Linked DNA regions of Rattus norvegicus. The protein of the gene in region 2 interacts with the protein of the main gene of each other region in a pairwise test. Links are inferred from orthologs where the notes say so. Each region holds a gene or a part of one and is shown on either strand. Other genes may lie near its edges. The genes, in order: Htt, Nup58, Mis18a and Pknox1.

Region 1 (3,422 bases), on a different chromosome or scaffold from region 2:
AGTCAGTCTCATAAGCTGGGCCACAAGCAGGATTCTCACATAGGGCAGTTAACACCAACACCACTCTGTGCTAGTCAAATGGAATGCATAAGAAAAAGGAGCCGTGTGAAGTGCAAGTGCCATAGGGTGTTGGGAGGGCTACATGAGGGACCTGCCCGACTAGACTGAGTAGCTACAGGAGAGAGAGTGGTGGCCAGAAGGCGCATCCACTTCCATAAACTTTGTCACATGCAGCACAGGCCTTGCCAAGTCACACACTTTACACGGGCATAGGAAGAGTTACATTAAAATTAATCTCTTTACTGATATAATTAAATTTTAACTCCTGAGAAGAAAACAGAGAAAGGGAAAATGATGCTGGACACCTGGCAGTCCCAGTTCCCAGCCCCCACACCATTCACTTTGTGTCCAGACACTGGTGTGGCAGGTACACCTGCTGGGTAAATGTGGGAGGGAGCTCTCCAGCCCAGTGGGACAGGGGGGCTCAGAACCATCTTACAAGAGCTCGGATTCTGTTCCACATACCAGGGCAGCTGCAACCTGGCAACTATGGCCAGGGCAACACTAAGAAAAAGACAAACACCTGGTCAACCTAGCACTGCCACCAGCTGCAGTGATGCCAGGACCCAGGACTCAGGCTCAACCCCAACATAGTGCATGTTCCCTGCATAGCTCTCATTGCAAAGCACTCCTGCCATTGCCTGGCTGTCCACTTGACACAAGTGGAAGCCTGCACGTCCAAGGCAGCCTTAGCAGAAGCTTGGTGCAGGCCCCTGGAGGCTGTAGCCACAGCAGTTGCCTCCTCTCAGCCTCTTGTTCCACAGGTACTACTCAGCAGGCGGTGACCTTGTGAACATTTTGCAAACAAGCAAGCAGCCTGTGGTATGGACTTCCTGGTGCTGCCACCACCTCAAACACAGACTGGAAAGCCCTGCGGTCGAATTCCTCCTCTATCTGGTGTCTGTAGAAGTCTGTGGCAACCAGGCAGAAAAGGTTCACATCCACCTGCTCCAGTTTGCCCATCCTGCTGATGACGTGTGGAAGGCTGGTAGAACAGTTAAGGGGGAATGATGGCAAGGGTGGGAAGACAGCCTCCCCAAGCGGTTCCCTCCCTAAGTCCACCAGGAAGACTGGGCAACCAAAATAGAGGGCAGCCTAGACCACATTAGCACAGCACCTGCTTGTAATCCTCTGCCAGCTACAGCTTGCTGTCTGCCCAGGAGAGTAGGGATGGGTAGGCCCAGGGGCCCAGAGGCCCAGGAAGTGGGAGCCCTGCAGTGCAGACAGGGTGCTGGTTCCCAGTGCTCTGCGCAACAGCACTTACCTGGGCTGTGCTCCCCACACAGTGTTAGTGGCTGGTGTTCCGCTCACACTGCTCCAGTGCAGGGAGGGCAGAGCTAGCACCCTGCCTGCAAGGCTTTCCCAGTACTTAGGGTGAGGCTGTACTGTCACCACCAAGACAACTTTGCTGCTCAGTAACTCCTGTTCTACTGTGGAGAAGGCTGCCAAAAGAGGAACTCCTGGCATCACTGTTAGGGCGGGAACTGCAGCTTTACTTACGGCTTTCCCCAGGAGGGTGACCGCAGTGTAAAGATGAGAGCTAATGAAAAGCAGCATTGAGAAAACCTCAGAGGGATAAAGCATGCCAGACGCTGGGGCAGCCGCAGGGCCAGCAGCGGCCTGAGCTGCCCTGCCTCCCTTTGGGCTCCTCTCTTCTCCCTCAGCAGTAGTACTCCTGCCACAAACCCACCCGTTGGCAGCCCTGGCTGGCAAATGGCTAGACCTTCTGTTTCATGTCCCCATCAGTGTTTTAGGGGAGGGTAAGCATCCCCTTGATACCTGTGGGGTTCTTTAGAGTTTAGGCTTCAAAACACTCAGTGGAACCTGAACTGGATGCTAAGAGAATAAGGAAAGGCTGGTGGAGACTGAAACCTGGCCAAAGCCCCATGGAAGGATACATTGCAGAAACCCATGGGCTGGTAGATGCACTGACAAGGAAGCAGGAGAGGCTCCACATGGCCATGGCAACTGGAGTTCTTTGTGTGAAGTTGGACAGAGACAGCATAACCCAGTCCCGGACCATGGATGACTGCCCAGCACTGTGCAGAGTCTGAAAAACCTGGGGAGGAGAGAGCCCTGAGCACAGGGTCAGGCTGTGGGGTTGGGTGGGGACTGGGACCACAGCTGCCACCCATCTTAAAGGATGAGTCTAGCCGTGATGACAGGCCTACCATAAGTGTGGGACTGAGTCCCCCTTCATCCTCCTGCTCTGTCCTTGCTCCACAATGCAAGTACACTCTCACCTTGTATACTACAGTGGCCATGAACTGTGGGTATGGCTGCTGGTTGGACAGGAACTCTCCAATGACTTTGTTCATGACATCTTGAGGTGGAAAGAAGTCATCTAGAAACTGAGGCAGGATCCTTGCCACGACCCTGGCTTCACAGGGAAATCCCTTGCGGATCCTGAAATGAGAGGAACTGATCTGAGCCTCACCTGGTTCTTAGCCTCTCAACCCTGCCCATAGAGCCAACATGGACCAAGGCTCAGAGGCCCCTGACCCATGACCCATGACCCACAGGGATGTTCTAAGTGGGGCTCAGATCACAACTGGGGTATGAGTTTTAAAAGCCAAAGACGACATCCAGGCTGTCCTTTTGCTGCCCTGACTAATCTGGGCACAGGGTGATCTTTCCCACTCTGGGGAGAATAATGCAGTTGTGGGAAGGCCCTGTCAGGGAGCAGCAGCAACAGGTAGGTAGTGACATTACAGAAGAGACTCCACATCAAAAGGCTCTAAAGCGTCACTGTTGCATGTCCTAATATCCAGGGTGCTATTGTCAATCAGGAGCTTTTCTTCCCTTCAAACACAGACTCCCATTGACGCTCCTACTGACTCTTGTCTCAACATCCAACACTTCCACCTTTAGCAGCATCCTTAAAGACAGCTGACCTGTGACTAATGCCACACCACCGTGGTATACGGCCAAGAAGTACACAAGTGACTCTGACACTCAACCGTGTCTCCTTCCAGTGGATATGGGCTGAGCCCCACCATAGCACTTGGCTACACTCCGGGAGTATCTATTTCCTCATCCCTGCCTGTGGGATCCCCCAGGGCAGTGGCTTGGTTGTACCCCTGCATGGGTCCAGTTGTCCCTGAGTCTGGCTTGCAGGTGGTACTCTGAATATGCATGCATTGGGAAAACGGCTGCAAAGATGCAATTTAAAGTTCAAGAGAATGAACAAATACACGTGGAAGGAACTGCTCTGGCTGTGGCTCCAGGGCAGTCAATGACTACTGAGGATAAAGGTCAGGTGTTGCTGCATTTCTTACCTGTCAAAGAGCACAGACACTCGCTCCATAGCTACAATCACAGACTCGCTGTCAGGGGTAGCAGGGCTGGGGTCAGAAGCTCTG
Region 2 (3,566 bases):
CTCTCAAGCCGCACTTTGCTTTTTAAATTTTGAGGGGTGGTCTGGGTAAGGTTCCCAGACTGTCCTTGAGTGTGCTGTGTAGCCCACACAGGCCGAGAAGGTGGGATTGCTTTGTCTCCCAAATAGCTCACAGGTTCAGTATTGTATTATTTAAGATAAACTTTACATTTGGTTTTGTTCTTAACGAGAAAAGGACGGTGTTTGAATTTGTTAGGCGTATTTCTTTTAATGTCTTTTGCATCATAGATTTTATGAGAGAAAACAATTTTAAGCAGTTAATTTTTTATTTTTCCAAAGTATATATTAGCCATAGCAGACTTTGTTTTGTTTTGTTTCAATAAACAAGCACACCTTCTGTGGGGCTCAACTTCGGAACTCTCGGAAGCTCTGCGACACCAGCATCTACATCTACTTCTGCCAGTGGTTTTGGAACAGGACTCTTTGGATCTAAGCCTGGCACTGGATTCACTCTAGGAGGAACAAGTGCAGGTAAGGAGGATGGTCTTGTCCTCAGGGTAAATGAGATATTTCTTTCCCGGTTTCCGTCCTCTGTCTTTATTTAAGAACCATCACTGGAATTGGATGTTTGTGTGGGAGAGGGAGCAGCTCCAGAGAAGCATCAGAAAGTCGTAAGCATGAATCAAGATGATTTTTGTAAATTATATATAATATAGTATTTTTTTCTTTAGTAAAGATGCTTAAGGCAGTTTACCAATTTGTTTTACATTTTGATATTAAAATAGAAAAAAGTGTAGTTCTTGAAAGTCTCTGAGTGGTAGATAGTACCTTCCAGCTTTAGTACTGTGTGCTTCAAGTCTTTCCTTATTCACCTTTTATTCTCTAGGGAAAACGCTTGTATTTGTTGCTATAATACATATATCAGTCTTATTATAAGTATCATTCTCTGAAGGTGGAATCTAGAAGGAAACCATCTTTATTTTTTTTTATTTATTTATTTTTTGGAGCTGAGGACCGAACCCAGGGCCTTGCGCTTGCTAGGCAAGCGCTCTACCACTGAGCTAAATCCCCAACCCCGGAAACCATCTTTATTGATCATTCAGTTTGTCTTTTTGTGTCTGGGAATAGCAGCTACAACCATACAATTAATTCTGGGTAAGAAGTTTTGAGAAGAGCAAACTCTGCCTTTCTAATGACTTGTGGGTTTTCTCCTCTTGAACTATTTCAGAGTAGGAAAAAGAAGAATAATTGTAAAGAACTTGTATGGAGCCCATATAATTGTTTTTCAAAAACCTTTCAGTGTTTGGTTATATAAAACCTGAATGCTTCAATGTTATGCCTGTGTAAGTTATAGATGTATTTTAAACATAGGTAGTTTTGGATGTGGATCCAAAAGTTTCACTAGTTGCCTTAAGAGAAAAAATCAGCAGCAAGGATTAAACCTCACAAACACGAAGGCAAGTGCTCTTCCGCTGAGAGGTATGCTCCCCACCCCATGATTCTGTGATGTTATAGATAACTAAAAGTTTCGCTTCAAGGTATGACAGGGCTGTTAACATCTTACAGAGACAACCAGGGCTTGATTTAAGACTGTCACACAGTCTCTTTTCCACTAAAGCATCACATACCTAAAATGCAATGAACATAAATCCACATCTAAAACCACCTATGTGGTCTCACAATGTTTTTGAGGATGCTAGTAATCTAGCAATATTTTTGAAATAAAATTAATAATAAGATTTTGAACTAAAGCAATGCAAAGGAAGGAAAAAGTATCAGGGATTCTGCCTTGAGTGATTGACTTGGCTGAAGTGAGTGTGTGCAGGCTTTTGTGTTGTGGTCAGATACATGACTCAAAGGGACATCAAGGTCTACCAGCCAGTGGGATTCAGGTAGGCAGAGATTTAGGCTCACAGTGGGTGTGGTGGTGCACGCCTGCTCTTTCAGTGCTAGGGAGGCTAACACAGTAGGAGTGCTCTGCCTACTTAGCAAGACACTGCCTCAGTAAACCAAAGAAGCTGGTGGCAGCTAGGGTTAGATTCCTGTACCTGTTGATGAAACTGGAGCCATCAGTGGTGGAAGCAGCAAGAGAACTCTGGGAGCAGTGCAGGAAGGAGATGCACAGGCAAGGCCTGGAAAGGAGGAGTGGGGAGAGAACGTGGTGCTGATAGGGATGGAGTCCAGGAGAGGGGGTTTCCAGGAGTACAGTCTGGGTGGGACAGGAGGGGCTGTTTTTCTGTTGACAGCAAAGGGAGTACAGGGAATAAGTGCTATTGTAGCCATTGTAGGCAAGCTAGGGAAGGAACTGAAATTGATTACAGTTTTAGAGTGGTTGTTTTTACATTTCTTTTTCTTTGTGGTTCCCCCCACTTTCTGAAACAGGGTCTCACTGTGTCACCCTGTCTGTCCTGGAACTTAGTATATACATATCAATATACCAAATTGATTTAGAATTCACAGAAATTGCCTGACTCTGCTTCCTGAGTGTTGGGATCAAAGGCTTGAGCCACCACACCCATCTTGCATTTCTTTCTTAACCCAAAGTTTTTGTATTCACCATGATTTAGTCCCAACTGGTGTATCTCTATCCTATTTCTTATGGTAGAGAAAAGGATCACAGACATAAAATACTGTCTAAAGTCAACATATCATTTATATGATTAAGATAAAAATGAGATTTTGTTTGTTTGTTTGTTTGTTTGTTTGTTTGTTTGAAACAGGAACAACAGCTACTACATCTGCATCTACAACAGGCTTTAGTTTAGGATTCAGTAAACCTGCAGCATCTGCCACACCATTTGCCCTGCCCGTCACTTCTACCACAGCTAGTGGTCTTACTCTCTCGTCTGCTCTGACATCAGCTCCAGCAGGTGAGACAGAATGGGAAAAAAACTGAATTTGTTGGTTATATTAAATTTTTTTTTCAGTTAGAAAATAGCAGTAGCCATTTAAATTAAACATCTCTGGACTGGGGAGATGGTTAAGTGAGTAAATTGTTTTACTGTACAAGCATAAAAAATTTTTAAAGGACAACTATACCTTGGGACATTTATTTGAATAGTTAATTGATTTTGTCCTATTGAATTCTTGACTTTTTAGAGTCAGGCTTAGTGGTCCACACCTATGATTTGCGAGGGAGAACAGGAGAATCTTGAGTTCAAGGCAAGGCTTGTCTATGTGACAAGACTATCTGGAAAAAATAAGTTAGCATTGGCTATTAAAGCTGTTATGACTTGAAATGTGGTCTCTACTAAGAGTAACATGTCAGAGGAGTTGGGGATTTAGCTCAGTGGTAGAGCGCTTGGCGCAAGGCCCTGGGTTCGGTCCCCAGCTCCGGAAAAAAGAAAAAAAAAAAAAAAAAGAATAACAAGTCAGAGGAGTGAAGTGTAGAGATGTTTTTATCTTGTTTTTAAGAGACTGTTGATGGCAGAAAGTGTAAAGACATTTATAAACTTACCTAGTTCATGATTCATTTACTTTTAAAGGTAGAATTGTTGGCTGGGATTAAAAATTATACTGTTGTTTAGAATTAGTTGCTGGGTACCATTGCAATAGTTCCCAAGGGAGGAGGGGATTTTGTTGGATGAGGGGGAAATGGGAGAGTTACT
Region 3 (4,149 bases), on a different chromosome or scaffold from region 2:
TGGGGAATGGGGTGCATGTGGTCCAACACTAACGGGACAGGGGCCTTCAGGGAGAAGAGGTGGGACAAGAGTTATTTCACGTCCTTCTCTGAAAACCAGTGGGATTAATAAATGAACAATGTTACCCAGGGAAGAGCAGTGGTAGGGCTTGGCCTGTGAGTATCACAAACTGTAAACTACAACCAAAAGTTGCCAGAGAGAGTGCAAGTGGGCCCAAGAGCAAGTCGGACGAGGGAGGTCACCAATGCGCCTCCAGATTCCAACAGAGCTCCTTTCTCTACAAGTAAAGGGTCCCAGTCTGACATCCTGTGTTTGGACACATCGCAGCTGGACCAGGAACACGGTACCAAACATTCCAGAGGGAAATGAAGAAGCACTGTCAGAGAGTGGGACAGCCAGGGCAAACTCCTGACTTCACCGTCTTCCGCGGTGCCTTAGCTAAGCAAGCCCCATGCCCATAAAAATGTGGTTTCTCAAAGGAGAAGCTGGGATGTATCCTATGAGTTTGGTTCTTTCGGCTCTGGGTATGGTGAGAGCAAGCCCTGGAGAGTTGCTGTGGTGACACAGCTACAGTGGTGCTAGTCTTCCTCTGTGCTTGTTCCAGAAGAGCTGAATCCTGTCACTCCTCGCTCAGCAGTAGACCCCCATTGTTTCACCATAGCCTAAAGTCCCTTCATTCCCTGGTCCCTTTCTAAGGTTTGTCTTTATCCACACTTTGGCCACATTGACCTGGAACCCTTTTTACTACCTGAACATCCCCCCACCGGGGTGGGGGACACTCAGCATTTGCATATAAAGGTAACAAAAAGACATTTTCCAGCACCCAAACTTGACATTTCCTTGGGGACACTTGTGATAATTAAACAACTCAAGAATGGGAAATTATAAACTGTAAAATTTTATTCATTTCTGAGTGTTTTGTCTGTATGCATGTGTGCACCAAGTGCACGGGGTGGTGCCTGTGGCAGCAGACGCCCTGTATTGCAGTAACCTACGGTTGTAAACCACCATGCAGGGCTGGGAACTGAACCCTGGCCCTTTGCAAGGGCTCTTTACCACTAAGTCATCTCTCTAACCCCTAATTTTTTTAATATGTTAACAAAACTAGTGGGGTTCGGAAATTAATTTATAGAACATTATAAAGGCTGGAGAGATGGCTCAGAGGTTAAGAGCACTGGCTGCTCTTTCAGAAGTCCTGAGTTTAATTCCCAGCAACCACAGCATGGCTCATAATCATCTGTAACAAGATCTGGTGTGCAGGCACACATGCAGGCAGAATACTGGATATATAATAATAAATACTTAATAAATAAATCTTAAAATAAGTAAAGCTAAATCACCATGTTGTGGCTATAAATAAAGTGTTAAGTGTTGAGTGAGATATAGGGGTGCACATCTGTAATCCGCACTACTTAGAAAGCTGAGGTTAGATCATTAGTTCAAAGTCATCCTTGGAAACAGTAAGAGCCCCATTATAAAACAGAAAAAAATTAATTAAAAATTGTAAATGTCATAAATGTGAACGAAGGTAAATAAAACACTCCAACTGGGGCAAGAGGGAAAAGAAATTAATCTGGAAGGTCATTTTTTTAAAAAGCTTTTACGGGGTTGGGGATTTAGCTCAGTGGTAGAGCGCTTGCCTAGGAAGCGCAAGGCCCTGGGTTCGGTCCCCAGCTCCGAAAAAAAGAACCAAAAAAAAAAAAAAAAAAAAAGCTTTTACACCCTTCTGCATTGTTTAATAGGTGCAAAGGGATAATTCCAGTGAATGGAATTATCTTTTTGCTCCTACTGTTTAAAAGACTCAGTAAAAAGTACTAACATGAGGATAAATAGAATTATCTAATCCACACAGGTTAAATTTTTAAAACCTAACAACAGTATTAATACACACAGAAAGCAAGATAGAAAAGCTACAAAAACGGGGGATTAAAAATTAAAGACACGTTATTTCTTTTAAAGCCATTAAAAAACTACTATGTCAAAAATCTCAACCCAATTTTAGGCTACCCTAATTAATGGTGGCAATGCTTGAGTCAAACTAAACTCTATCAAGAAGCTCATCCAGTAAAGAAATCGCCTAATCCTGTGGCCATATACCATACATACACTTATCGTCCCCGTTATCCCATGTATTAGCCCTCAATTTGGAGACTGAGGCAAAAGCCTTTGAACAGATTGCCCAAGGGCACTAAACTAAGTCCAGCAGCGGCGGCCTACAAAGTACCCAAAGCAGCTGACAGAATCCGTTAGATGTGAAAACACTCCCCTGAAGGAAGCACCTTGCTAAAAACGCTTGGATATTTCTTTCTGAATAACGTTCAGGATGATGCTCAACCGCTCCCCTTCTAGGGATGGAAGACCCCAGAAAAAGCCCTGTTACTCGTGAGCCACCCACAGGAATGCCCTCGCCACGGTTTGCTGGGACAGCTCACCCCCACCCCACCCCTCCCGCAGCACCCTCACGCGGGAAGGCGGTCCCACGGCCCCGGCCCAAACTGACTGCGCAACAGGATGCAGTTGGTGTCCTCCTGGCTAGCCACCCAGGTGAGCGAGTCGCCCAGCGGCCGGCGACAGCGCGTACACAGGAACACCAGCGGGTTCTCCGCCGCGGCAGCCTTCTCCTCACGCCTCTCCAGCAGTGTCCTCGACGCGTCTGCGCTCGACATGCTCGCCCACTTCTGCAGCCGCCAATGGCGGCTCGAATCTTCCGACAGCCGCTTCTCCAGCAGCGAAGACTCGCTCCGCTTGCCCTGGTGGTTACACGAACTAGAGGTAGAGCAGGGTTCCAGAGAAAATGTACCAGCCATGACGAATTTGCCGCGCCCCGGAGCCTCACGGGAAATAGCACAGCTGCGCATGCGCAAGGAGCAAGAGGCGGGCACCGCCGAGGAGGGTGAGGCCCGAAGTAGGGCCTAAGGCGCATGCTCACTATCTGGCTGGAGCGAGCCTAGCTCATTGCGCCTGCGTCCTGGCGTCTTCCTAAGCAAAGGCAGGTGAATTAGCTTGTTGGAGGTCCTTCCGCCGCCGTTGAGAAAGTTAAGGGCTTCGAATTAAACAAGCAACCGCTCACCTAGTCCTTCCACATTATTAATGGACATGCCGGTGCTAGGTAAGCAGATCTGGTAAGCAGGCCCACCTCCATGGAATTCCAAGTGGTGTATTGCTAGCCACATCCCTGATTCTAGTCTGTCTGCTCCCGGAGACCCACTTTCCTAGATCCAGAAAAATCAGGGATCGATGGCGAGCCAAAGACACCCCCTGCCTCAAAGACCCAGCATTACGCAGGCTTGCACTGCAAGGGAAAAGTACGAGAAGCTGGAGGGGACAGCATTACTGTGGTTACAAAGTGGGCGAGTGTCACTCACTCTGTCTGGGTCAGAGTACAGTAGGGGCGGGAAGGACGGTCAGTCATCAGAAAGTCAACCTGTGACTTCAGAAGACCACAGGCTAAAGGGAAGGCTGGCGGAGAGCCGAGGGACGCCACCAGGGACAGCCTGGATGCAGAAGTAAGAAACAACACGCAAAGACCACCGTATTTTCCTCCAAGTCACACTTCGCAGTTCGCTTCGTTAAACTTCAGCATACGCAACCACCTGTTTTCGTATCTCAGGCCCCTAGTAAAAAGTTTCGAATCCTAAACCTTCGAGTTGACTGACCAAGGTAGTAAAGGGCCGGAAACTGGAAAGGCGACTTTGCCTTCTCTAAGTGTGATTTTTAACTTTTTGTTTCTTTTGATTCATTTTTGTCCAAGCTGTCCACCCACGGCGATCCTCCTGCATCAGCCTCCCACGTGCTAGGATTACAAGCCAGCCTTGAGTCTTGATTCTTCACAGGATTAAATGGTCAGTAACCTCCTGGACTATTAACTGAGCAATGGGATGTGTGTGAGGATACCATAACGGCATTAATTAGCTTCCAAGTAGGAGAAAATGCATCAAATAATTTAGGATTTGTCTACCCATAGAGTTGTTTTCTCTCTACTGCTTTTGAAGGTGCTGCCTGTGTCCCATGCACAATGCAGCCTATGTGAGTTGTGCACGTTGCATAATATCTTTGGAATTCAGTGGGCAGTTGTTTGGCTCAGACTTTGGGATTCTATGGTCAATGCTTAAAATTCTGTAGTGGTATATCCCTGTACAGAAGTCCTTT
Region 4 (3,566 bases), on a different chromosome or scaffold from region 2:
TAGTTAGATTGTTAAAGGGAAAATTAGCTAGAAACCAGGAGACCAGGAAGGTAAACTTCAAGAACAGATTTAAATCACAAAAAGTAGAAACAAAACACCAACTTTACTCACTAAGTTGTCTGTTTCCGGATCTTCACAGAAGAAGGGCTTCCCGTCCTTTTCTTGCTTCCTGACAAAGTTCTCAATGTCCACATCGAAGCTGGCGGACGTCGTGCCTTCTGATCCCTGTGTGGACTGCTCACATTTCTCAAACAGCAAAGCTAGCAATGGAAATAGCGGGTGCCTGTGGGGAAACAGAGCAAGGGTGTGCCACATCCCTCCAGGAACACTCTGGGATGTGTGCACCAATGGGCCTCTGCCCACACTGTCACAGGGATCTGTTTTTCAGTCAGGCTTCTAACTTGAGGCTCTCCTGCCTCAGCCTCAAGTCCCTGAAGTTACAGATGTGCATTGTCTGGCCTGTATGAATGATGTTTAAACAGCCTGTTACTTGTTTCTGTATATTCTTTTACAATTTTATGCTATGTGCATGCACACCTGGTGCCCATGGAGGCCAGAAGAGGGCGCCAGATCCCTCAGGTCCTCTGGAAGAACAATCTGTGCTCTTCCCCACTGAGCCATCTCTCTCAACCCATCCATCACTTGTTTTTTAATTCGTTTAGTAGTCAGAGTATGGCTACTCTGAGTAGAACTGTTTCATGAAATTTTTTTTTTTTTGGTTCTTTTTTTCGGAGCTGGGGACCGAACCCAGGGCCTTGCGCTTCCTAGGCAAGCGCTCTACCACTGAGCTAAATCCCCAACCCCTCATGAAATATTTTTAATGAGTTAGCTTTACACTATATGAAAATATCTTTTCAAAATTCCTAATCATTTCATTAACTTTTCCTTGTTATTTGTTTGCTATTTGACAGGGTCTTATTACATAGTCCAGACGGGCCTTGATTCCTGCTCCTCTCAGGCCAGCCTTCTGAGGCCTGGGCTATAGCATGGACTACCATGCCTGATTTCAATTTGTATGTGTGAACTATCCAACAATAAAATGGACCATTCTCGGTTCTTAGACCCTTACAAGTGTGTCTAGTCACCACTGTAAACAGGACACAGAGCAGCTCTAGGACACCCAGCCTTTCTTGTTCTCCCTTCCGTGTGCCATGCTGGAAGCCCTAGTTCCAGCAGAGGTCACCATCGTCAAGTTTTCTCTTGGTGTCATGGAAAAGCAATTATACAAAATGCAAGGCTTCTGAGAAGGGCTTAAGATAGCTGGGGTTCCTGTGAACACGTGTTGCAGCCATATACCTTCCTTTCCATGGGCCCACCACTGTCGAGAAACATCCAGGCTGTTTCTAGTCTGAGGATCATGAGTGAAGCTTCTAACACCCCGTGTACAGCTAGCTGTGCATCTACAGACCTGTGTTCACAGGACACTACAGTCAAAGGGAGGACGCACAGCCGGGTGTGTAGAACACTTGGGTGGTAGAGGCAGGTGGATCGTTGTGAGTTCAAGGCCAGCTTTACCTATATAGTGAGTTCCAGGGCAGGCTAGGACTACAGAGAGATCCCATCTTAAAAAGGACGAGGCAACCCAACCCCAAGTGCCCAGTATCTGCTGAAGGATAAACGTGGTGTATAAACAGGATACAGCCTCAAAGAGGAAGAAAGTCCCAGCAGGCTCTATATTACAGTCCTCACATAAACCATTTGATGTGAAGGAAGCCAGTCAAGAAAAGATATTACTTAACTGAAGTGAGTCCTCACTCAGGAGATACCTGGGTATAAGGTCAAGAGAGCAAAATGACAGTTTCCAGAACTGCATGTAGAGGTCAGAGGACAAATCTATGGCATTTTCCTCACCCTCTGTGGGTTCTAGGACTCAAACTCAGGTCATCTCATTTACATGGTAAGACTTTCCTTGCTGACCCATTCTCTAGGCCTCCTCTTTCCCTTTTAGGGTTTTGTTAGGTAGTCCAGACTGGCCTGCAACTGGCTTTGAACTGTCTATCCCCGTGCTGAGAGTCTAAGTGTGCACCACCATGCTTGTTCTGAAGACTTCCTGGAAGGTTACCTGAGTTTAGGTCTCTATTACTACTCGTGCGTTATTATAAGAGCCATCGCAATCCGCAAAGGGCTCAGTGTAGATCCCAGCCCTGAGTTCCACCTCACACTGTATTCTCTCTAGTCCACACCCAGTCACTACCTATAAATGGCCTGCTTGTCGGCATCCATCGGGGTCTGAGACTCGATGGGAGGAGGACTCACTCCTTCTGCATCCGGGTCAGAGCAGTTGGGATCCTGCTCTGTTTTCAACTCAGTGACCACCTGCATCTGGAAAAGGAGAAGTTCTGTTACAGAAGACATGTACAGTGCTGCTATCCTGTCAGAAGATCAGATAACTGCCCATAACATGAACAACACTAGCGGCAAACCTTTGACTCTCGTATGCTCCAAGAGCAGACAGTATGAAGGGCAAATGTATGAGGAAGTGTGATGGCTTCCAAGCCCTGTGCGTGGCTGACAGGGACACAGTGTAAGCTGACTCTTCTAGCCACTCTCCCAATGAGTAACTTGGGGAGAGGGAGAACAGAAGGTCTGCTCTTCTTATATTCACTCACAAAAACCTCAAACGCAACACTACAGTTCTGTGACAGGGTTCAGGTTCTCCCACGTGTAACCCTGCGCCATTATGCAAATATGAACAAGGGCTGGGCATGTAGCTCGTGTGCAACTTCCTTCCTAATCTGACCCCAGCACACACTCTCGTATACACGGTTTTGCATAAGACAGTGTGTGTATGTCTGTGTGCACGCACAAGTGGTGTTATAGATGGTCGTAAACCATACCACGTGGTTGTAGGAAGCGAACTCCAGCCCTCTGCAAGAACGGGATGAGCTCCTAACCAGTGAGCCGCGACACACAGCTTTAAACAAAGGGCAGCTTATCCAGACAGTGAAGAGACCAGGTGTGTTTACTAGGGTTGTAACATGTTCTCTGTGTTACACAAGCTATGTCTCTGCCTCTCAGATAGACTTATCTTAGGAAGAGGCCACCCTGTCTCCACACTAGCCAGGGGCCCCACCCCCAACGCTGCCCCCAATGCTTTCCGGCAGCCCAGAAGGACATCCATTCTGTCGCCATCTTTAGAATTACTTGGAGAATTCTTTTTTGTTTTTCCTTTCAAAAAACAAGGCAACCTGGGGCTAGAGAATTAAGAGCGCTCTCTAGCTATTCTTCCAGAGAACCTGGTTTTGGTTCCTGGCACCCACAGAACTCCAAGCACCTGTGAACTCCAGTTCTAGGGGACCCAGTACCTTCTTCTGGCCTCTGAGGACTCCTCCACAGGTATGGAACACATAAGCTCACTCACACAGGCTCACACATAATAACAAAGCCAGGAGCCAGGCAAGGTGGCCAACCTTTAATCCCAGCACTGGGGGGGGGGGGGGGGGGGTAAGGCCACTCTGGTCTACACAGTGAACTCCAGGCAAGCCAGGGCTATGCAGTGAGATGCCATCTCAGAATCTCAGAAAATTAAATGAATAAATATGTAATGAAAGCCTAACAGACAATCC

What was found.
Region 1: the proteins of Nup58 (region 2) and Htt interact in binary tests that used the Homo sapiens proteins (3 or more experiments, as listed by UniProt). The link is inferred for Rattus norvegicus from reciprocal best matches to the Homo sapiens genes NUP58 and HTT.
Region 3: the proteins of Nup58 (region 2) and Mis18a interact in binary tests that used the Homo sapiens proteins (3 or more experiments, as listed by UniProt). The link is inferred for Rattus norvegicus from reciprocal best matches to the Homo sapiens genes NUP58 and MIS18A.
Region 4: the proteins of Nup58 (region 2) and Pknox1 interact in binary tests that used the Homo sapiens proteins (3 or more experiments, as listed by UniProt). The link is inferred for Rattus norvegicus from reciprocal best matches to the Homo sapiens genes NUP58 and PKNOX1.

Annotation. Positions count from the first base shown.
Region 1 is NC_086032.1:80,073,284-80,076,705, forward strand, and holds part of Htt (huntingtin), read right to left. Parts: coding exon 3,339-3,422; intron 2,467-3,338; coding exon 2,304-2,466; intron 2,120-2,303; coding exon 1,959-2,119; intron 1,046-1,958; coding exon 832-1,045; 3' UTR 1-831.
Region 2 is NC_086033.1:38,576,631-38,580,196, reverse strand, and holds part of Nup58 (nucleoporin p58/p45), read left to right. Parts: intron 1-346; coding exon 347-489; intron 490-2,678; coding exon 2,679-2,828; intron 2,829-3,566. UniProt on the Homo sapiens protein: Component of the nuclear pore complex, a complex required for the trafficking across the nuclear membrane.
Region 3 is NC_086029.1:43,464,328-43,468,476, forward strand, and holds the start of Mis18a (protein Mis18-alpha), read right to left. Parts: upstream 2,831-4,149; 5' UTR 2,808-2,830; coding exon 2,501-2,807; intron 1-2,500. UniProt on the Homo sapiens protein: Required for recruitment of CENPA to centromeres and normal chromosome segregation during mitosis.
Region 4 is NC_086038.1:9,684,644-9,688,209, reverse strand, and holds part of Pknox1 (homeobox protein PKNOX1), read right to left. Parts: intron 2,323-3,566; coding exon 2,195-2,322; intron 284-2,194; coding exon 112-283; intron 1-111. UniProt on the Homo sapiens protein: Activates transcription in the presence of PBX1A and HOXA1.